Coturnix japonica: one gene and its partners. The protein of the gene in region 1 interacts with the protein of each later gene in a biochemical or structural test. Links are inferred from orthologs where the notes say so. Each region holds a gene or a part of one and is shown in the gene's direction. Other genes may lie near its edges. The genes, in order: MBP, PRKCZ, TLK1 and CDK9.

Region 1 (5,160 bases):
GCAAAGACTACTCCAAAACTTGGCAACACAGACCCAAGAAAGTTTGCAGTCAACTACATGGTAACATTTTTCAATGAGCTAAATTATTAGTGCCTAATAATGGACCAGGATGCTAAAATAAACTCAGACTCCACTACTCCACCACACTCATAAAACCGAATTATTCCCACCTTTTTGTGCCTGGTGGCAACCCGTCGACCACTGCAGAACAGCAAAATACATCTGCTCACAATGTATTCCGTTGGGCTTCATGTAGATTGACAGCAAGCTGTTGGTAAGACATTGTGATCTGCAACACTGCTGAAGAAATGTAACATAACACAGATCAGGGTGTTTGTGATAAACACAGATCTGTTCTCTTTAGATATAGACTTAAAAGGCAACATGGAGGTGGTAACTTGTTCTGATCACGTTGATGCCTTACTGGCACTCCTCATTGCAACACTGCTCACAAGCCAGGAGTCCCACCGCAACAACGTGACCAAGTCCTTCTGTAGCAAGCTGATCTTCTATGTGACAAAAATTAATTGTATTCTAAGTAACTGCTCATACTGTTCCAGAGTCACACATTCATTCTGTTTGGAAGAGCTTATTTTCTCTCAACACAGATCTCTATTTCTGTTTAGGGGCCAATGAGATCTGTATCACCCACGTGGCACTTACAAGAGATGCCACTGTTATTTTCATTCTCTCCTGCCTTCCCTGTTGCGCACAGCTGGGATCCATTGTGCTGAGAGTGAAGCATTATACCTTGACACTGGCAATGATGGACAGACGTTTGTCATTTGGGTCAACTCACAGGGACCGATTAGCTTTTTAAACTTAGTCCTGCTGCATCCATTGAGAAATAGATACAACCCATTCCCGCTCTCCCATGGAGGATGATCCAGCTTAAGTTTTCTCAGGTTTTATCTCTAAAATTACATCCTGTGTTCCAACTTTGAAGGAAGTAAAATTGTAAAGTTTCTGGATTCTAATTGTCCCAGGTTCAGTCCCACGCTGGGCTGTAACGTTACAAACACAAGCACCATTATATAAATACACATGCACAACATATGTATGCGTTTGGTACAATAGCGCATTGGCCATTGTATAAAAAATTGTTCCTTTGCAGCACTGATAACTTTCAGACTCACTCCCCACAGATTTCCAAGGCACTCCCCTCTCCTTTCCCTCACACAAAGGGAGCCTTTCCCAACAGCTGCTGTTCTCCTTCCTCCCTGCTGACCGGACTCTGCTGTTGTTGCAGGATATACATGCAGCCAGGGCCAGCCATGTAGGCTCCATCCCCCAGAGGTCTCAGCACGGCCGGCCTGGTGATGACAACCCTGTAGTCCACTTCTTCAAGAACATTGTAAGTTCCACTTCTCATTCTTCTCCACATTCTTATCATTCCTTCAGATCCACCTATAATCAAATATCCCACAGTCATTACCCTTTACTAATGAATTCTTCTACACCTTTGAGCTCATCATGCAATTCAATGTAATTTCACCTGGAAACAAGAACAGTGCCGAAATGTTACACCCAAGTGGGTGAACCCTCAATTAGCACAGTCACGTTTCAAGAGCAGTTGTTGTAATTATGCAGCTTCACCATTTACAAGGTTTATGCTGCTGTCTTTGGCAACCAGCGTCTTTCTTTAGAAAGAGATTTAAAAATGTTCACATGACAGCAAAGAGAAGAACAAAATTAACAACTAATACATAAGGACTAATAACTCCTGGAGACATTCAGAGTTTCCTGGAGACACTCAAGGTCAGGCTGGATGGGGCTCTGAGAAGCTGTTGGAGCTGTAGGCATTCCTGCTTCTTGCAGGGGAGTTGGACTAAGTGACCCTAGAGGGTCTCTTCCAACTCAAAGCATTCTATGATTCCCTGAATTTACTTGATAATTATCTCAATTTATTGTTGCTTTGGCTTTATAATTTTTTTTTGTTGGTTTTTAGGTCTCACCCCGTACTCCTCCTCCAATGCAAGCAAAGGTAAGAGCAGTCCAGGGCTCAGGCAGTGCCCATGGGTCTTCGGGGTCATTTATACCACTTCAACCACCAGTCCATTTGTTATCTTTAATCATGATAAATATAAATCAGGAGTTGCCTTTAGGAATATCCCAAGCCAGGGATTAAGACAAAAAAGCCATGGCTCCTCTCCTTGTGCATTTCCTGATTTGTTGCATGACACCTAGATTAAAGCCAAATGTTGAGGTCCTTATATATTAGTTTTTTTGTTGTGGGTGTTTCATACATTATACTAATAATAGGTACAACTGTCAGCCAAGCCTCAACCTCCAGGAACTGTTCTCATGTTGATAAGCTGACATGGTTCCCACAGCCCATGATTGATGAACCACGGCAAGTGATGGAAGCTCTTGTGATTCTGACTGAGAACTTTGCCTTTTTCATTTTATGGAATGACTGATGCTTCATTATCTGGCCAGTTTCTCGTTGTTTTTCACTGCATTCTCAACAACTTCTGATCCAATGTTCTGTAGTGACCGTTGTGTTATTGTTTCTGTTTCTTCCACGTGCAGGGAAGAGGACTGTCCCTCACCAGATTTAGCTGGGTAGGTGATGAATGTGCTTTCGGAAACAGCCATTTTTTTTACTAGGCCAAAGCATACCTTGCTCCACTGCCTCAAGCTGCTGCAGCAACACAATAATTTTGTTTCATCTCGGTTTTGCTATTTTGCTTTTCCTGTTCTACTTTCCTCCCTCCTCCCACAGCACTTTAAGATGGTAATCGAGACGCACGCTCTTATCCAGCACACTGACAGCCTCGCAACAAATATTTCTTCTGCTTCAGCATGAAGGGAACAAAATCCTCTGCATGACAAAGCTGACTTCCTTTAAACGTCCTGGGAGACTCACTGCTGCGGGTTTCTTCTCCTGGGAAAGACAAGGATGGGAGGGCAGGTGGTGTCCAGGCAGGGATCTGTCCCCATTAAGCCCTACAGAACTAACACCACCACTAATTCAAGTATTTGGTCTCACCTTTCCTCACCACCTCTTCCAGTGTGAAGAGATCAGCCCAAGTTAGGCAAGTTCCTCCTTTAGTTATCACAGCTGATTAAATCCTACTTCTCTGCCGCAGGTTTGGTTCTGTAACAAGAAGAACGCATACATGTTAAGCTAAAAAAAAAATATTACAGCCTTCAAGCTGTTATACGTTTCTTTCACTGCCAACAGAACACCAATTTACTTCATGCATAATCACCTCAGAACTTGTAAATTGAATTTGTTTTTTTTATTTAAGTTTTGTCATGCAGGTTAACGCTCTGAGCATCCGCTTTTGATTATTAGTTCTTCTTTTACAGATTGCTTCCCTCAGGCACCAGCACACCAAGAAAACCACCTAATGCTTGCCTTTACCCTGGCTTTTTACTTAAAAGACTATTTTATTGCAACTTCCTCTAAGATTCTCCATGTTTCAGCGATGACAAAGAAAGATTACCACGTGAACATGAAATTAATGTCAATATGCTGATCTGAAATGTACACCAAACTCTTTCTATGCAGGGTGGTGAAGGACACAAGCCGGGATACGGAAGTGGAAAATTCTATGAGCACAAATCTGCTCACAAGGGACATAAGGGATCCTATCACGAGGGCCAGGGCACTCTTTCCAAAATCTTTAAACTGGTAAAGTACAATTCAAGTTAATGTAAGTTCAAACAGCTGAGCCCAGAGAAAAGCTGAGTGCAGCCCAACCTCTCTAGGAGATGCCATGTTTGGAACAACCACGTTTCCACAAAGCTTTGGAAGGAAGTAGGCATTCTCAAAGATGTTGGTCTTATAAAATCACCTGATAAATAGATAAACCATTTGACAAGAAGTTAGGCTTCAGGTAAATGGTTTCTTTAGTTTGCTTATGACAAAAAAGAAAACAAAAACAAGGCAACTGAAAATGCAGAATACTTCAGTTTTATGCTTGGAATCTTTAGAAATAGAAGAGAAACACTTCAATTATCCTGAAACGTACGCTTACAAATCATTCCCTATTCAAGTATTTCAGAAGAGCTCCAGTCCACTGCTTGCTTTAAGAATCAAAACAACTAATAGTTGAGCCTGGCTCTCACCTATGTAAATCTCCAAAAGAAAGTTTCACACTGTATCAGTCTCTGCCTGGTGCAAGTCCAGAGCATTTCAGCAGAACATAGCCCAGGCTTCTTTAACCTTCTAATCAAGGCTGAGAGCTACATTCTTTTTAGATGCACAAGAAAACATGGCACTTGTATAAGGAAGGCCTCAAAAAGAACAAGCATGTACAACTAACTCACAGAATTGTAGAATGACAAGGTTGGGAAGGACCTACAAGATCATCTAGTCCATTACAGCTGATACCACAAACCACTAAACCATATCTCAGAGCTCCTCATCCAGACACCTCTTGAACACTGCCAGGGACAGTGACTGCACCACCTCCCTGGGCAGCCATTCCAGTGCCTGACCACTCTCTGAGAAAAAATATTCTTCCTTACATCTAGTCTAAACCTCCTCTGGTACAACTTGCAACCATTTCCTCAGGTTCTGTTTGTTGCCTGGGAGAAGAGGCCAAGTCCCTCCTCATCACAACCTCCCTTTAGGAAGGGATGAGGTCTCCCCTGAGTCTCCTCTTCTTCATGCTAAACAATCCCAGCTCCCTCAGCTGCTCCTCTTAAGACTTGTGCTCCAGACCCCTCACAAGTTTAGTTGCCCTTCTCTGGACACGTTCCAGGGCTTCTATGTCTTTCTTGTAGTGAGGAGCCCAAAACTGAACACAATACATGCCTAGCTACATATGAGAATTTAATGAGAATGAATTAATTCTATGTGAAAGTATATAAGAAGCAATTGGTTCATGTTAAAATTCAAATAAGAACTTAATTATAATGAATACCAGAGTCATTTTCATTAGATATTTAAGGTTTTGTATTGGACTGATACATGTAGCCCTATGCACACAGTACCTTATTGCTAATTAACTCCATTCTTCCTTCCCCAGGGTGGCTCTGGCTCCCGGCCTGGATCGCGGTCTGGCTCACCAGTTGCGAGGCGCTGAAGCTCTACGATGCCATTCAAGGACCATGCACTCTGCTTCATAATCTAACTGCCTTAAAATTAATAACAACTGCAAGAATTACCTAGTTAGATGCAGTCCATTACTTAGTGCCAATTAGGGT
Region 2 (5,393 bases), on another chromosome or scaffold:
CTGATCAGTAGGTTGGGTTGTGTATGGGTACCTACAGAATCTGTACAGGTTTCCTATGTGGCCCAAATTCCTGTCAAGTTCTATCCAGCAATACTGATTGTGTAGGACCAGGGCATTAATCCTCACATGATGAGAACTCTGACATTTGAGGAGCAGCTGAAAATCTGCTGTGTAAATATTGACAGGGTTCAGCGTGGACTGGTGGGCTCTTGGTGTATTGATGTTTGAAATGATGGCAGGAAGGTCTCCATTTGATATCATTACTGACAATCCAGACATGAACACTGAAGATTACCTCTTCCAAGGTATTGTTTTTTTCTATGATTTCTCTTGGGGGGAGGAATGATGAAAATTAAGAATTGCAGTAGGATACTTAGAATTACCTTCTCTTTTCCTTTCCTTGTATTATCTCACAGTTGCTAGCAGGTCTATAATATATGAAGTATTTTTAAGGTTTCATCCTAGGTATTTATTTTATTGAACTGTGATGAAATAGCCTGGAATTAGGAACCTTTCTACAGATGATAAAAGCATGTCAAAAAACAGATAGAAATCTGACTATTCCCTATTTATGCTATAAATGACAGGTTCACGTAGCTAACATTTACTTCTGAAATCTTGAAGTTTTGGTGCAGTATTTGTATTACTGTAACTCCTTTTGCATTATTTTCAGAAATTACCATGTGTTCCCATTTTCCAAAGTGTAACAATGTAATGTTTGTATTAAAATAATGGTCGATGTCATAAAATAACAAAAGAAAACCAACAACAATATTACTGTTTTTAAACCTCTAACAGTTATTCTTGAGAAGCCAATCCGGATTCCAAGGTTTCTTTCTGTCAAGGCCTCCCATGTGTTAAAAGGATTTTTAAACAAGGTAAATAACATTCTCTTATTTTTAGCATCTACTATCTGGAAGTCAGGGCTTCCTGTTGAAAGGAATACAGTTAAGAAGTTAATCTGCTTACTATAAAGAAAATCTATAAAACCTTGGCATCCTGTATGATTTAAATAAAAAAAGACCAACCAAACCACCACCACACAACTTGTTGCTCTGAAGAGCTCCCGTGTTCCCACATCAGACTTGTTTCAGAAGCCTGCCTGTAGTTAGAAGTTATTATAGACACTTATAAACTCTTATCTGTAATGCTTAATGTTCATTGAAATCCATAGACTTATCATCATTCAAACGGGAGGGGGGGAGGGATGTAAAATACTTTGTTAAATAGAGCTTTTATATGAACTCCAAAAGAGAATGTAAACACTTTGGTAGCCATGGTATGAGCATCTTAACAGCAGTTGTTGTACTAGTGGAGAATGCTGGTGATATAGATGGGGTTCTGACAAAAATGGGCTGTAACTGACTCAGTGTGTAACAGAGTGTTTGTGTTTTTTGCAGGATCCCAAGGAAAGGCTTGGTTGTCAGCCACAAACGGGATTTTCTGATATCAAGTCTCACACGTTTTTCCGCAGCATAGACTGGGATCTGGTAAAAATAATTACTTCTGTTTGTGCATTTAAAAGAAACAACTTGTTAGTTTCCTGTTAATTTACCCAGCGTAGATGCATGGTGCCTGCAGTTGGACTCCTCTGGAGGTCATTTCACTGCTCTAACAGATAAGGGAAGCATATATTAGCAAGCAGTGCTTAATTTCCCTGATTAGAAACATTTCTACCTCAAAGAGAGAGAAGGCTGGTAGGTAACTGAGTGAACAAGAGCAGGTAAATTGCCATGGAACCAGTTAATCTGCAGCCATGGGAGGTGAGATGCTTCACGTGCCCAAAGCATTTCTGGTCTATTTGTACTATGTTATTTAAAGAAAAAAAATCAAATTCTGTACTTCTAAAAATCAGTGGGATTATTCAGGTAGGTAACAGTGAAATAACATTTATGGCAGAATAGGATTGCGTCTCTTTCTTGAAAAAAGTGGCTTAAGGGTTTTGTAGCTATTTGAAGTGATTCTTTGATTTCTTCTATTTTTCTCTACACTTGGTGTTATGATGGAAATGTTTGCTTAGGATGGAGAGACAACTTGCATGTCTGTAGGTCTGGATGCATAAATATTTATTACAGCTAGCCTTATAAAAGGTTCTGATACTTGGTGACTGTCTCTGCTTCACAGAAAGTCACCATAGGAACTGCATTGTTGCATTTATGGACACAGCCAAAAAGCAGTTGGGAACTCTTCCTTTCCAGCGTTACGTTTTTAATACTTCAGTTGAACCTTGAGAATATTGAGAATAAATGCGTGTGGTGTTTTCATAGTCCTGGGAGGTCTCCACAAAATATAGAAACAGGCAGTCAGCAATGTCAGTAATAATGTGAAGGAGGTTCAGAAGGAACCGTATGATGACAGTTACTCTCAGACCTGCTGTTCAGACATTCAGAGAAGACATTCAGTCCATTAGGAGCCAGTGTTTTAAAATACCTGCCGTTCACAAAGCGATTTGTACCGCAATTACAAGGACGTCTACTTCTGTCACAGACGTGACTCGTTTTCTGTTCTCCTTTTACCTACGTGCTGTGTTCCATTATGTTGGCTACCCAGTGGTAGCTATAATGCAACTTGACTGGAGTTTGTGTTAGAATATAAACATCACGCACTGCAGGGTTTCTGTTTTGCAGAGTGTTTCTGAGAGGTACACAAGGCTTCTAGATTTGTTGTCTTTATTTGTATAAATGCTTCTTAATTGGGACTGTTATTGATCATCATATATGCTGAGTTTACTTGAATTTTGATTTTCTACCTACTTCTTGGTTGAAAGCCTCGGTATTAAATATCTAATTAAAAACACTAATAAATTGGGGTGGATTTCTGTATGATTTTGCAAGATAATGAGGGCAGTGCTGCTCAGGAGGACATAAGATGTCAGGAAAAAAAGCTAAGCTGCACTTTAGTACTGGGAAATGTATTTAGGATAAAATGTAAAGCCACTGTAAGTGTTGCTTTCAGTCTTGGTTGTCTGAGTTGTGTGTGCTCTGGATGCAGGATGGTTTAATAGCATTCAGGGAAACACCGATATAACCTTTCTAATTGTTTCAGCACAAAGTACTTATTTTTACAGTATTTATCCATTACATTTGTGCTACAGAGCCATGGCTACTGCTGGCTGTGTGCAGAAGCAATAATGGTTATGTTTTGGATGGTAGTTTCAGCTCCTCATTTCTGTTGTTTTGTTAGATGATGGTGATGGCAGGTTGGCTGGCTTTGTTGTTTTGTGTACTTTATATGAATTTTAGGATGATAGTATTGGGATTGGTGCTACTGAAAAATAGAACTAATTTAGTCTCTGTTGCTGACTTGAAGGTCAAGGGCTACTTTGAGTCATTTATTCTGTTCAGGTGTTGCATTTCATCTGCTGTGTTTCCCTTCCTACTGAATACAGCCAATAGTTTTACCATCCTTGTTTGTTAATAGTTGTTAATTGTGAGTTTTACCTGTTAGCTGTAGATTTCTTGTCAAGAGTTCAGAGTCTCTAGAGATGTGAATCTGAATTGCACTTGTAGTTGAGGTAGTTTCATTTGATTGGTGTGCCAGGAGCATTACGTAGAACAGGTTAGTCTCTAATTGCACTCTAATACTGTTCCTCAGGAAGAGAAGTGAATACACTGTCCTGTCTGTTTCCTGTAATGCAGCATTCTGCATCTGTGTAGGAGTTTTTCCAGTCTTGAGTACACTGTACCAAGTTAGAACAGAAAGCTTAGATGGCTGGATTATTTTTGGATCTCTATTTTTAGATGTGGAGCATTAACTATATTGGTGTTCACTGTGTAACGTGTAATAAGTTATACTTAAGTATTTTGACATTTTTCTCAAATGGCATTTAGTATCATTGAATTTGTAGGCTGCTTATGTTAATTGTAATGGAAAAGGTTACAAAAATAGGAACATATTTCTGTTCTGGGTGTAATTCTATTCCTATCAGTGGCTTTTTGTTGTTAGTATTGCTTCAAAACATCCAAATACCTTCAATTTTTGTATCCATTTTCAATTGATAGAATCATAGAATGCTGTTTAATATTAAATACAACCACTTAAGATTGTACGAGACCTGTAAGAGAACCTGCAAGTCTTGTTGTAGGAAACAAGGATGTTTCCCTTCCCTTGGTGTGTTTCAACCATCCATCCAGATGTGTGAGGAAGCTGGAGCCAGGCAGAAAGCTGAGTGTATCAGAGTATTTTTTTGCTATGAAAACCAAGTTTAGTTGTTCAGCCTTCATGCAGAAGTATATATTAAAACCATCTTAATGCTTTGTCATTTAATGCTGTTGTCACTGAGGATGTTGCATGAAAACAAACTGTGCTTTTCGATTTTCCGTCAGTGTCGTTGGTTCTGTTCCAAGGGGAGCTTTGAATGTTGATTTTGTATCTGATATTTCTCTAGAGGAACGGTGACCTCCAGTGGCCAGCAAGGCTTAACCCAAAGTGTATGAAGTGTATGTCCCACGTAGGCCATAGCAGATCAGAATAATGATCAAGTCTGGTAGCCTGTCTCTATCAAAGCCATTACCAGAAGCTTCAGAGGAAGGTAAAATTGGTTCCAACTGCTCATAGCCTACAATGTTTCTCGTATAGATAAATCACTTCCTTCTAATTCGTATATTGGTCACTTTTATGCCCTGTAGCATGAGTAATAACGCAGAGCATGTAGATGTTTAGCTCAGTTGGTGGTTAGGAAGTTACCTGTAACATACTGCCTTTTAACCACAGTTTTTAAGCACTAACTTCTGTGGTGATAAATTCCTTAACAGAACAGGGGGAAGTAATTGGAGTATATTTGATTTAAAGAAAAAACACCTTCACAGTTCAGAGAAGACAGGAAGAATTCATTTAGCCAGAACTTAACTCTGAAACAACTGGAAGTGTATTCTTTAATCAGCTGCATGCCTGTTAGTGTCCTACCCAATAGGGAAATTGTCAGTGGTAATTTAAGTTGTGGATCACAATATAAGCTAAAAATCTCACCCTGCTGATGAGGGTCTTGTCCATTTTGCCCCATCCCAGTTACAAGGGGATCCCTGCAGAAGGTTTTGTGCCTCTCATTCGATACAGCTGAGATGGTTCTTGTATATTTTCCCAAAGCCTGTAACTAGAACGCCGGTCCTGTTTCAGGTTGGGTAATTTCTGCTTAGATGACCCACTAAAGAAACCCAGCGTGAGCAATAAACATACTGTGTTAGTACTGGAAGTCTGCATTTATTTACCCTTTGTTCTTCCAATTAAAGTATAATCCAGTAATGTTAAATGGGAAAACCACTGTGAAGTGTATCAAATCTCTACTGTTATGAGGCTATTTCAGACAACTATGAAAGCACAAACAATATAACCCTAAAGCTGTACTCTGAAAGTAGTAATGCCAGCTATAGCCATCTAAATGGCTGCAGTTAAAC
Region 3 (5,971 bases), on another chromosome or scaffold:
ATAGAAGGACACTCCTGCTGCAGTCTTTCTTATTTTGCTATGCAGCTCATCAGTTCTTTTCTTTAGCTCCTTCCTTATCTCCCAGTTAACTCTTCTTACTGTTCTAAAGATTTTGGGGTAGAGCGTGAGTTTATTTGTGCAAGGAACTTTCATCGCAGTAATTCCATCAGCAAAGCTGAAAGCTCTCACATTTCTGTTGTTTCAGATTTTTGTTGCTCAGCTTTTTTTATCTTTGGAATAATGACATTTCAGAATGTTTTCCTGTTCTTCAGGAGTCCTTGATTTGAGGGTTGCTGCTGTGATAAACCTTTGCTAGCTAACATTTGACTTACTTTCATGGGAGAAATAGCACATAAGCATTTCACTCCCTTCTGTTCTGATCTGAATTTCAGGGTCCTTTCTTAGCATGTAGTGAAATCCAATGAGCTTTCTGAGGACTAGGTGGGAATCAAGCCTTCCCTTCTATGCAGATAAGCAGCACCATCTCTGTTTCTATCCAGTGCAATCCCGCTGAGTGGGTGTTTCCCCATTTCTCCCACCTTGAGTCACATCTGATGTCAATAGGTGCTGTGTACCCAGCAAACAGTGAGAGCAGACTATTCCACTCCTGAAAACTTGAAGGCAAAGAAAACTATCTAATATACAAATATTTTTAACAAAACATAAAATAATGAGTAATAATTATTTGGTACTGTTTGGGCTAGATTTCATTTTTAACATTTGGGGTGCGTGGCACAGAGCTCACTGCTATGAGGGGTCACCCATTTGCCCACCAGGTGACGTTTGATTGCAGCTATCGCCAGTGACTGAAGAGCATTGTGCACATTTACAGTGCTACAGAATGAGTCTTCTAGCATGTCTCTGGATAATTCTAAAAGGTACGCACCTAAGCCATTCTGTGATTCTATGATTGAAATGGTAGCACCAAAGCAATGCGGTTTACAAGGACGCCTTAAAGTCAGTACTAGCTCTGGCACATTAAGAAAGGTTTTCGATGGAAACCTAAGTAACGAATGGCATCTTCCTTCTCATTCACTATTCCAGTGAATAGTGCAGGAAGGATGCGTTTCTGTAGGTTTTTCTAAAGGTTGCGGGGCTCTGGTTTGTCTGAAGTGGATACGTGTGGGCCAACAAGTTTCTGAACATGCTGCTTCTCCCTGGGGGGCACCAACCCTCATCAGTTCACCAGCCATTGTCCCTCAGGCTACAAGGTACAGTTCTGCTCTGTGGGCATGGCTCGGTTTTAACCTTGCAGGAAGTTAAGAAGCTGTAGCAGCCCCCCAGTATCAATACTGCACAGCCTCACTTCATGTCAAAGTACTACTCAACTCCTGTCCTAAGTTGCTTAGTAAAGCCTGAATAGTCTTTTCTGTGATAAGTCCTTAAAGGCAAGGAGGTCCTGGTTAGAGAACATTTCTCCATGCCAAACACGTGGAGAGTTCTGAGCCAGATTTACTTAGGAAGTAAACCAACTGATTTTTTACTTCAGGTTAATGCCTTATTGCTAAGATGCTTGCAGTGATGCTGTATTCTTGTGGGCGGTGAGGATCTCAGAAAATTTGACGTGTCACTTGGAGAGAAAGGAGGAATCGGCGAAAGCTGCTTCATGAACAGTCTGCCACCAACCTGAGCCAGAGGGGAGGGCAGTGAACGCGGGGCCAGGGGTCTTCTCTGCGTACGGGAGTGCCATGCCCAGCACGTGGGGATCCTCATTCCCGCATGTAAGCCACGGCTCTTCCAAGCGAACGAAACCATTAAGTTACGCTCGTAACCGGGAAGGCTTTGTTTCAGACCTGACTTTTCCCCGTCTCTCCCGTTCTCGGCAGAGACCGCGCTGGCGGTAGGGAAAAGAAGAGCAGCCGGGCTTTGGACGCGGCCATGCCGCTCTCCGGCCCGAGGGCGCGCAGGCGGAGGAGGCGCCCGGCACATGGCACAGGGCTCGGCCCTGCCGCGGCTCGCCGCTCCCCCGGCACCGTGTCCGGCCCGGGGCCCGCGGCGCGCTCCCCCCGAGCGCATTGCACGCAGGGCTCGGCCGCGGCTCCGCGAGCGGCGCGGGGCGTGGGTAGGGGGCCGGCCGGGGCAGGTGCGTGCGCGGGGGCCGCCGCTCCCGCCCGCCGCCCCTGGGCGGCTCCGGTTCGGAGCTGCTGGGCTCGGCTGGGCGCCGGCGGAGCGCGGCGCTCGCTCTGCTCGCGATCGTGTTTGCGCATGACCCCTCCCCGCCTGCGCCCTCCCCTCCCCGGCGGCGGCGGCGGCGGTGGGGAAGGTTAGCCTCAGCCTCAGCCTCAGACACGGGCGGCTGCTCGGCGGCGGCCGCGGCGACGCAGTGCAGAGGTGCGGGCGGGTGGCGCCGGCCCCGCGCCCCGTCCCTCCCGCGCCCCGCCTGCCTCCGGAGCCCTCCGCCCGCCGGCGGCCTCCCCGCGCCGGTGTCGGGCCGGCCCCCCGGCCATGAGCGCGGCGTTGGGTGTCCCCCCGCCGCGCCGCCTCCCCCGCCGCCCCCGGCGGCTGCCAGGCTCCAGGAAAGTAGCTTGATGAGTGTCCAAAGTAGCAGTGGAAGTTTGGAGGGGCCGCCATCTTGGTCCCGGCTCTCCACGTCCCCACCGAGCCTGCAGGGCTGCTCCGCGGCGGCCTCCCAGCTGCACGGCGCGCCGCCCGGCAAGCCGCCCAAGGAAGGTAACCGGCGCGCCGCGGGGCTTCGTGGGGGGGGGCCGGCCGTCGGGGAGGGGCCCGGCTGCCGCCGCCGGAGGCCGGTCCCGGGCTGGCGGGGAGCGGTGGCGGACAGGCGGGTGCCCCTCGCGGCGGCGGCGGCGGCTCGGGGTCAGCGCCGGGCCCGGCGGAGCCCAGCGGAGCCTCCGGCGCCGGGCGAGGGGCTCGGCCCCGCCGCTCCTCGCGCCCCCCTCCCGCCGGGCCGCGGCGCTCCGCTCCGGCCGTCCTTCCGGCTCGCGTCTGCTCTCGGCGGGGGCCGCTGCCCGCGTCCTCCCCGGGGAGCGGTGCCCTCCTCCGGCGGCGGAGTAACGGCGGTGCGCGGAGTGCGGGAGGACGCGGCCGTTGTTTCTGGATGGAAGGAGTCGGGCACTTTTGGCATCGTGGAGGTGGGGCGGGGACGGAGCGGAACCGCGGGGCTCGTCCCTATCGCGAAGGCGCCCGGGGAGCGGTCGGCCCCGCGGCGGCGGTGACAGGGCGCCTCACGGCCACCGCCGCGCTATGACTGCAACTTTCTGCTTTCCTCCATCACGCCTCGGATGATAATATTTTCCTCCTCCCTCCTCTGCTCCTCCCCTCTTGTGTTACACCGACAGGCAGAGCGGGGTGTTGTGGGTGTTTGCGGGGAATAGCTGTATGAAGGTTATGAGCAAACAAGTCCCTTCTCTGTTCCGTTCGGGTTATTGTCTGCTTTTCCTCCTTGCATTGAGATGCACCACCACAAGATGTAGCAGTTCTACAGCTGGAGAGCGGCTCGCGGCTTTCTGCTGGGAGAACTACTTGTGGCGGGGGAGAACTTTTGTGCCCGCACACCCGCGTGCTGAACAGTTGTGTAATTTCGCTCCATTTGCCCCACTTTGATCAATTCCACGTAGCTCGCCTTCCGATCTCTGCAAAATGTCGCTGGCCAGGCAGGAAACTTGAGAACTTGAAATAGAAATTAAAGCGAGAAGAGCGGTCTTTGTTTTTCAAGTCTTCCTGTGGCTTTTTTTTTTGTCGTTGTTGCCGTTGTTGATAAGCAGTTTGAGGGCTCGGTGCCGGGGATTCGCTCTCCCAAAAAGCAGGAGGTGCTTCTCCATTTTCTGTGCCAGCAGTTGTCAGACTTGTATCGCTCCCGTCACTCCGCACGCGCTCCGCCAGGCAGGCTAACACGAAATGCTCTAGAAAATACCTGGAGAGGGATTACGGTATATGTTAAAGATGCTGAGTAAAGTGGCAGGCATTTTGTGCTCCTGCGCTCCTGGAAGCCGACTGGCAGCACTACGGCCGCCCCCAGCTGAACGTGCAGCTGATTTTAACTTTATTAGGAGTAGGTTTCAGCAGTGTTGCAACACTTGTTATGGATGCGTGCATGTAATATTCATATTGAGTGCCTGCGTGGGATATTTTGGGATGTATTTCAGACACCGGGTGCACAAGCCTGAAATGATGGTTGCAGCACAACGTACAGATAACGTGTGTGTATATATATACACACACACACACACATATATATATATATGCACATGCATGTATATATATAAAATATATATATTTATTTGTTATTTAAAGAAAACTGGTTTAAGCCTGGCATCTAGGCATGGAAAAGCAGTTTTGTGATGTTAATTTTTAAGGCGGCAATGATGATGATGGTGTTTTTTACATCCCTTCTCACGACTCCTGCGGTTGGATTGTTCTAAGTGCCGTAATTTGCACTGTGCAGTTAAGGGGTTTCAGAGCAGTGAAAGCCCAGCTCTGTGCGTGGTGCTGTGATTGGCCTTGTGTGTGTAGTGTTCCCATGTTGTGATGGCTGCATGGCCTCGCCGGGCAGTTCTCTCTGGGAGCCAGTGTGAACTATTGGTGGTGTCCATGTCTGCTTTTGGCGTAAGCTGGCAGGATGGTAGCAGTGCACCTTGCTTCGTAAACGTGTATTTTGAAATGGTGCATCTTGTGTGAAAGCAGTAGGCCGCCAAACACTAATAGGCCGGTGTGCTCATAGGCATTGGCTTGTACATATGCAAGAACTATGTCAGATCAAACTTAACAAGTTCAAAATAACCCAAAACGTGTTTAAAGGAGCTTGTGCGCATGCTGGTTCTTGACTGGTGAGCCCAGGCAGTGCTGCCAGACATCACCTGTGTGCTGGCAGCAGTATGTGAGAGCGTGGGCCTGGGCAAGACTCGTACACTAGCACCAGCGCTGGGTGTCCAGGTGTGGGCCTGCTGTGCTTGTGCTGAACCTTTGGCCTGGGCACATTTATTATGAGACGCCGGACCCCTCTCTTCAACTCCTGCCATCACCAGGCTGGCTTTCCTGTCAGATGTGCAGGCCTTGCATGGTGTCTCACAGCGCAGCAGCTCACATAGCCTTACCCGCAACCTGCTGGGACAGCCTGGCAGCTGCCTGCAAGGTGCTCACCATGTGAAGATTCCCACCTTTGGGAACAGGAACCCCTGGTGCTCTGTTTTTGCAGGTCCAAAAAGTGCTCTCCAAAGCCTTAATGTGGAGAAACCAAATAACCAAAATCAACCAGTCAAGTGAATTAAAAAAAACAACCGATCAGCCTCTGACATACATAGTTGTCACTCAAAAGTTCTTTTGTTTTGCTTTTCAAATGTTAGGTTTAATAGTCTTGAAATGGGACTGCTTGGGAAATACAGGGTGAAGTTAAAGAAAATATTTTCTTTTTTTGGAATGTGTTACAGGGTTGTAGCAGTGCCTCATGAGTGTTGGCTTCTCCCACCTCTTGACTTGCAGAGGCATCATTGCCCAGCTGAATAGATGTGAACTTGTGTTTTAGGGCTTTGAAGTGAAAACATTGGCAGGGACTTAAGTAAAATTGTATCTGTACACTTCTCTTGTATCAGAACTGTTTGGTGTTTCCAACTCCATGTAGTATCAAGCATTCCTTCTATCCCTTGTTTTATGCAGTAACTGATCTGTATTTGGTCAGTCATTCAAGAACCATGCGACTTAGGCTATGAGGAATTTAGGAAGACTGTTAAGTAGTGCTACTGTAAACACTGTTTACTGAATCTTGTGCCATAGCTCATGTAACTGCAGTCATGCAGCTTTGTGTTTGAAGTTTCTTTGCTGTTCATGTGTGGCACTGAAGAGATCACATTGCACAGCTGCAGGGTGCTGGTTTAGAAATGGGAGACAACCAGGCTATCGCAGACAGAACAGGGAGGTTTTGGGACACGTATGCGAGTACCTTGAAATATTTCCTCCTCTGAGGTTGGAGTCAGGTTGTCAGTGTCTGGCAGTGTGGCATGGTGCTTTGCAGGCTGAT
Region 4 (6,018 bases), on another chromosome or scaffold:
TGTGGGGTGCTGTGGTTGTGCCTCGTGTACACGTTGTCAGGCACAGAGCAGGAACTGGCCATCAGCTGGGCCCCGTGCTGTTCGTGCAGCAGTGCTGGCTGTGGGCAGCCTCCTGCCTCCCCACTTCCTCAGCTCAGCCCCTCGCAACCTCCTTGCAGCTCCCTGTAGCCACCTGCAAGTGCTGAGCTCGAATTGTTCACTGCAGGAGTATTTATAACCCTGATGGGAAGCTCTGTGTTTCACACCTTGGCACTGTGTGCTGCCGTGGTGCTACCCCAGTGTCAGCACATGGGGCACAGCAGCACTGCTCAGCTGGAGGCCTGGTGCTCTGAGTGCCCCCGGGGTTTTGCAATGCTTACACAGCAGGGCTCTGTGCAAAGCCTCTTCCCCTCCAGATTTGCTGGGGCAGGAAGCTGAATGCTGCAGCAGTACCTTGCTAGGAGCCTGGGTGCTGAGGGCCCATGTCCTGCACAGTCTGCAGGGTGCCCCTGCTGCCAAATGGGGCTGCAGAAACCCAGAAGCACTCCTGCATAGCCAAAACCTCATGACCTGGACTCTGTTAATGACAAAACTGCTTCAGGTTAAACATCCCCTCTGCATCCGAGCATCCTCTGCATCTGAGGCTGCTGCAGGGTGGGAAAGCTGGGGGCCTTCCCCATTTCCCCCGCATTCCACCACAATGGAAAATCCCAGCTTGGCCGGGGCCGTGGGAGATGGGTTTTGCTCAGCTCCCGGGGGAGCTCAGGGGTCGGCCTCCCTCCGGCGCCGGCATCAGCATGATGGAGGCAGAGGAATGCGGGGAGCAGCAGTGAAGGCAATGTCCTGCTCAGTGCAGCGCTGGCGGCGTGCAGCCCCATGGAGCCTCCTCCGAGGGCTTTGGGGAAAACCCGAGGGCTGTGAGAAAGAGCTCAGCTCCCTCCTGGTGGGCAGCAGCACTTCCTCTGTGCTCAGCTCCCACCGCTTCGGTCCCGAGCGCGGCTCCATCAGTGCAGATTTATCCCCAGCATCCACCCCATCCCTCTGCTGCAGGAGCACACAGAGGGCTCCTGGACACCACCAGCCCCAGCCATGCAGAGGGGTAAATGCTCCCTGAAAGCTGTGATTTGGGGGATCAGAGCAATGGTTCACCCCTGTCACATGCTGGCAACCAGTGCAAGCAGACTGCTCCCAGTCCAACCCCAGCACCAGAGCCATCAGCACCAGGGTTTGCTCCAGCTGTGGGGATGGAAGCCCCCAGAGCCCCCAGTTTCCTAACAAAACTGAAGACTTCTTGCTAATGAGAGGTGACCACGCTCACACTCACACACCCCCTTCCCACCCACGCCAGCCCAGGTGAGCACCCAGCACCCACCCCCTCCATCCCGATACGACTTACTGAATTTCTTGAAGCCCCCTCGTTTCTGGCCCTCAGCCATGGCTGTGCTGGGTGGAGGCTGCAGGGACAAGTTTATAAACTTGAAGCCTGTCCCTGCCTGCTCCTCCCTTCCTGTCCCCCCTCCGCCTCTCGCTTTGCTCTCTCAATCACTCAGCGCTTCCTCCTCGCTGCTGCCATCTGCTCTTATGGCAGCTGCTGTCCCCGCTATCCCCTGCGGTCCCATCCCTTATTGTCCCTGTGCTCCCATCCCTTATTGTCCCTTCAGTCCCATCCCCTGTTGTCCCTGCACTCCCATCCCTTGTGATCCCTGCACTCCCATCCCATATTGTCCCTGCAGTCCCATCCCTTGCTGTCCCTGTGCTCCCATCCCTTGTGATCCTTGCAGTCCCATCCCTTGTTGTCCCTACAGTCCCCTCCTGGCTGCTCAGGTGCCATTAATGGGATTAATGTGCTTTAGGGCCGCCCTTGAATGGCTGGGTGCCGGCATGGGGCAGGCTGGCAGCTCCATGGCTGGAGGTCCCCATATGGGGCTCAGCTCCATGGTGGAGCCCCAAGGCCCCACTGCACCATGTGCTGGTGGAGCTGTGTTGTCTGTGGGGTCATTTCTATGGGGGATGCAGTGGCCCAGAGCTGGTGGGCAGCCCCAGGGCCTTGTCCTATGGAGTGTCCCTGTATGGCCACGGCCCTTCCTATGTGGGTGACACTGTGAGGGAGGGAACGCGGGCACACAGCTATAGACAGCCATAAAGCCGCAGGGTGATACGGGTTTATCCGGGGTGACAACATGGCGGCCTAAGGTGGACTACAAATCCCAGCAGGCAGCGCGCCGGCGCGCCGGAAATAGCGTAAGGCGAGAGGGCGGAAGTGAAGCCGTCGGCCGGCATGGCCAAGCAGTACGACATGGTGGAGTGCCCGTTCTGCGATGAGGTGTCCAAGTACGAGAAGCTCGCCAAGATCGGGCAGGGCACGTTCGGGTGAGCGCTGCGGGCCTCGGCTCTGCTCCCAGCCCGGGCATGGCTCCTATGGGGCCGATTATCTGCTGTTATTCAGCGTCATGGGGAACAGGCCGCGGCCTGACCCGGGGCCTTTGTGCTGTGGGGGCTGCGGGCCTCGGCCTCCTCCTTATGGGGCTCATGGGGCCTTGTTGTTGTTACATGGGTCTCTCCGTGTTGTTATATGGGTCCTTGTTGTTGTTACGTGGGTCCTTGTTGTTACGTGGGTCTCTCCGTGTTGTTATATGGGTCCTTGTTGTTACATGGGTCTCTTCTTGTTGTTACAGGGAGGTGTTCAAAGCCAAACACCGGCAGACGGGGAAAAAGGTGGCGCTGAAGAAGGTGCTGATGGAGAACGAGAAGGAGGGGGTAGGTGTGAGCTGTGCTGTGCTATGGAGGGGATGGGGTGGGGGGTGGGCTATGGAACATCAGTGTGTATTAACTTTAATGGTGTTTACTGCTGTAACGTGCCAGGTCTTGAGTAACAGCACACAGCACATGGGGGTGGGGTGGTTGTGCTGTGGGTCAATTGGGGCTTTGCCATGTGCTGTGCTCATAGATGGGAAAGGAGGGCAGGTGTCCATGTCACACAAACACCTCCACCTTGTGGCAGAATCCTAAGGGTGGCCAATGAGTTTTGTCGCCCCTGTAATGTTTTGTAGTTTCAATTACTCTTAAATGAGCTGTTGCAGTGCTACTCAAGCAGGTGTCCTGTGCTGCAGCAGTCCAATCTCTCCTGTTCTATAAGCAGATGTGAGCTGCACTCCTAACCTGTGTCTTCTCCTTTCCAGTTCCCCATCACAGCTCTGCGAGAGATTAAAATCCTCCAGCTGCTGAAGCATGAGAATGTGGTGAACCTCATAGAAATCTGTAGGACCAAAGGTAGCTGCCGGGGTCTCATTTGTGCTGTGCTGAGGGGGTGTCTGTTTTCAGCCTTTGTTCTTGGCTCAGCAGGCTGCTGTGTTGCACTGGGGGTGGATCCTCCAGCTGAGCATGTGTTTAATCTGGGGTGACCACACGCTCATCTGTGGAAACTCATTTTGAATGAGTGCTACTGTGCTGCAGCTTGGCTGGAAAAAGCTGTTGTCAGTGCTGCTGGCACATGCCTGTGCTGTCTCAGTGACTGCTGTCTGTGTGCTGGCTGAATGGCTTTAAATGAACCTGCAGCAGGAGAGAATGTGAAACAGAACGTTTTCTGCCTGGTGGTGGTTTTGCAGCTTTATGATGCTGATGCCATTGGGAGCAGGAGCCGTGTTTCTGCAGCTCGTGGAGCTTTGTGCTGGTGACAGCTCCAGCTGGAGACTTGCTCAGCCTCTCCTGTGCATGACAGAACCCCCCAGGCTTTGAGGGCTGGATTGGAAGTGCTGCCACTTCACAGTGAGCAATTCAGTTGCTCTGTGCTGAGCTGCTGTTCCATCTCATCGCTGCAGGCAGTCCCTGGGGGAGGCAGCACGTCTCTGCTGTGTGACTGATGTGCTTAATGCACCTGGCCAGGCTCAGTTTCCAGGGAAATCATTTTAAAGCATTTCCTCATTTTTATATATCCTTCTCTTATATGGATTTGTACTGCAAAAGAGGTTTGGAAAGCGACAGATGATATTAAAGCCTGCCATGCTGTAGTCAGTTCTTTTTGGTTAAATACAATTGATAATAGCACCTTTCTGCTGCTGTTTTTTACACTCAACTGGTAGGAATCTCAGGCCTAGGTCTGGGAACTTGGTGTTGCTCCATAGAATGTAGGTAACTGTCGGTTTTTGAACCAGTAGGTAGGAGGAAAAACACTGAGTTAATGTTTAATTCTTGGATTGATTAAACCAGCTGTGATGACTGCATGCTGCTGGCACGTCTCAGGTCAATATTTTTGTAGCTGTGTCAGATTGTTTGGGTCTTGTTTAAATTCTACTTTTCTACCTTGACCTCAGATTCAAGTGAAAAACAGAAACATTTCATTGACTGTTCTCAGACTTTAAGCTTTTCTCTTTTTATGTTGGAAGAGGGGTTGTGAGGACGGCACCACTGTCATGTGCAATCTAGAAAGCATCCTCCAGGCTGCATTTACTGTGCAGGCTGAGCTTAGCCCACATTTTCTGGTTCTTGCTGCTGATCAGCAGGTTTTGCTGTGCACAGCTGATCAAAATCAGCCTTTTGTTTTGGTGTTTTGCACGTGTGCTCTAGGAGCAAGATTGAAATTGATTGCTTCATTTGAGGTTTCCTGTCATTGACCATAAATTGCAATTGAAGTTGGGGTTTTAAATCATATTGATCTGCATCAGTCTGTTCTCATAGACACCATTTGAGGTTGCAGTAAACTTCACTTTCTGATGTTGCTTTAGAAATATTTGCTGTATTCCTGTGAGTCTGTCTTTGCCTGTTCCTCCTCTAATGCTGATGCAATGATTGTGCTCGGCTGTCAGCTGTGTGTGTGCACCCACGGGCTGCAGTTTGTAGGCACAAAACCCCACAGCTGTTAATACACGCAGCACAACACACAAATGAAGCTTTCAAAGACTTTTTTGCTCTTGCTTTGCCTTTCTCATGATGTTCACTACCACTCTGATCCTCATCCACTGTTGCTTGTTTTGCTGTTTTAATACCTCTTTTTGAAGGCTCTTGAGGCATCTGGAGTCCCTGTTTTGATGTTCCTCTGCCGTGAGGTTTCACCTAGTGAGTGAGGATGGATGGAGGTCAGGAGGAACTAAATCCCTTGCTGACTGTTCCTCTTTGCCTCTCCTGTAGCCTCTCCATACAACCGCTGCAAGGGCAGTATCTACCTGGTGTTTGACTTCTGTGAGCACGACCTGGCTGGACTTCTCAGCAACACCCACGTCAAGTTCACGCTCTCAGAGATCAAGAAAGTTATGCAGATGCTATTGAATGGACTTTATTACATCCATAGGAACAAGGTAATGGGCCAGATCTGTGCTGTGGGCTGAGGTGTCGTAGTACAGGTTGGAGGGAAGTTCTGCTTTGTCCTTCATCTCCTGAGTCTGAGCGCCCTGCTGGCACCTGGGTGCCCAAGGAGGTGATACCTCAGAGGTGTAACTTTTCAGTGTCTGTCCTCGTACAGATCTTACATCGAGACATGAAAGCTGCAAACGTTCTGATCACGCGGGATGGAGTTCTGAAGCTTGCAGACTTTGGGCTGGCTCGAGCTTTCAGCCTGGCTAAGAACAGCCAGCCGAACCGCTACACCAACCGGGTCGTGACTCTGTGGTACCGGCCTCCAGAGCTGCTGCTAGGTAGGAGGTGATGGGTGCTGCTGGCTTCTCCTCCCTTCACATCCCAGGTGACTTACAGAGCACCTCTGTTTAGGGGAGCGGGACTACGGGCCCCCCATTGACCTCTGGGGTGGAGGCTGCATCATGGCAGAGATGTGGACCCGCAGCCCCATCATGCAGGGGAACACGGAGCAGCACCAGCTCACCCTCATTAGCCAGCTCTGCGGATCCATCACACCAGAGGTGAGAGCATGGGCAGGCTGTGGGATCTGCAGCACAGCAGTGAGGGCAGGGACTGGCACAAGGCACTTCTGGTCCTCTGTCCTCTCTTACGTGTGGGTTGTGTGTTCCTAGCACTGGAGCTTGCCTGCTGCTGGCAGGGATGCTGGGGAGGCTCCTGGGTGCTAAGTGTCCAGCTTAACATTGAGCATCC

Evidence for each region.
Region 2: of the proteins of MBP (region 1) and PRKCZ, one has a biochemical effect on the other in vitro, tested with the Homo sapiens proteins (2 studies listed by BioGRID). The link is inferred for Coturnix japonica from reciprocal best matches to the Homo sapiens genes MBP and PRKCZ.
Region 3: the proteins of MBP (region 1) and TLK1 form a complex in vitro, tested with the Homo sapiens proteins (2 studies listed by BioGRID, with this or other methods). The link is inferred for Coturnix japonica from reciprocal best matches to the Homo sapiens genes MBP and TLK1.
Region 4: of the proteins of MBP (region 1) and CDK9, one has a biochemical effect on the other in vitro, tested with the Homo sapiens proteins (2 studies listed by BioGRID). The link is inferred for Coturnix japonica from reciprocal best matches to the Homo sapiens genes MBP and CDK9.

What each region holds. Positions count from the first base shown.
Region 1 is NC_029517.1:81,546,549-81,551,708, forward strand, and holds part of MBP (myelin basic protein), read left to right. Parts: intron 1-1,249; coding exon 1,250-1,354; intron 1,355-1,948; coding exon 1,949-1,984; intron 1,985-2,532; coding exon 2,533-2,565; intron 2,566-3,517; coding exon 3,518-3,640; intron 3,641-4,982; coding exon 4,983-5,039; 3' UTR 5,040-5,160. UniProt on the Homo sapiens protein: The classic group of MBP isoforms (isoform 4-isoform 14) are with PLP the most abundant protein components of the myelin membrane in the CNS. They have a role in both its formation and stabilization.
Region 2 is NC_029536.1:1,530,748-1,536,140, reverse strand, and holds part of PRKCZ (protein kinase C zeta type), read left to right. Parts: intron 1-185; coding exon 186-305; intron 306-798; coding exon 799-878; intron 879-1,400; coding exon 1,401-1,490; intron 1,491-5,393. UniProt on the Homo sapiens protein: Calcium- and diacylglycerol-independent serine/threonine-protein kinase that functions in phosphatidylinositol 3-kinase (PI3K) pathway and mitogen-activated protein (MAP) kinase cascade, and is involved in NF-kappa-B activation, mitogenic signaling, cell proliferation, cell polarity, inflammatory response and maintenance of long-term potentiation (LTP).
Region 3 is NC_029522.1:16,161,478-16,167,448, forward strand, and holds the start of TLK1 (serine/threonine-protein kinase tousled-like 1), read left to right. Parts: upstream 1-2,416; 5' UTR 2,417-2,528; coding exon 2,529-2,670; intron 2,671-2,974; exon of another isoform or gene 2,975-3,055; coding exon of another isoform or gene 3,056-3,089; intron 3,090-5,971. UniProt on the Homo sapiens protein: Rapidly and transiently inhibited by phosphorylation following the generation of DNA double-stranded breaks during S-phase. This is cell cycle checkpoint and ATM-pathway dependent and appears to regulate processes involved in chromatin assembly.
Region 4 is NC_029532.1:3,651,307-3,657,324, reverse strand, and holds the start of CDK9 (cyclin-dependent kinase 9), read left to right. Parts: upstream 1-2,214; 5' UTR 2,215-2,257; coding exon 2,258-2,349; intron 2,350-2,654; coding exon 2,655-2,736; intron 2,737-3,158; coding exon 3,159-3,249; intron 3,250-5,103; coding exon 5,104-5,270; intron 5,271-5,434; coding exon 5,435-5,606; intron 5,607-5,679; coding exon 5,680-5,828; intron 5,829-6,018. Other genes in the region: SH2D3C (SH2 domain-containing protein 3C), read right to left, coding at 1,376-1,415. UniProt on the Homo sapiens protein: Protein kinase involved in the regulation of transcription.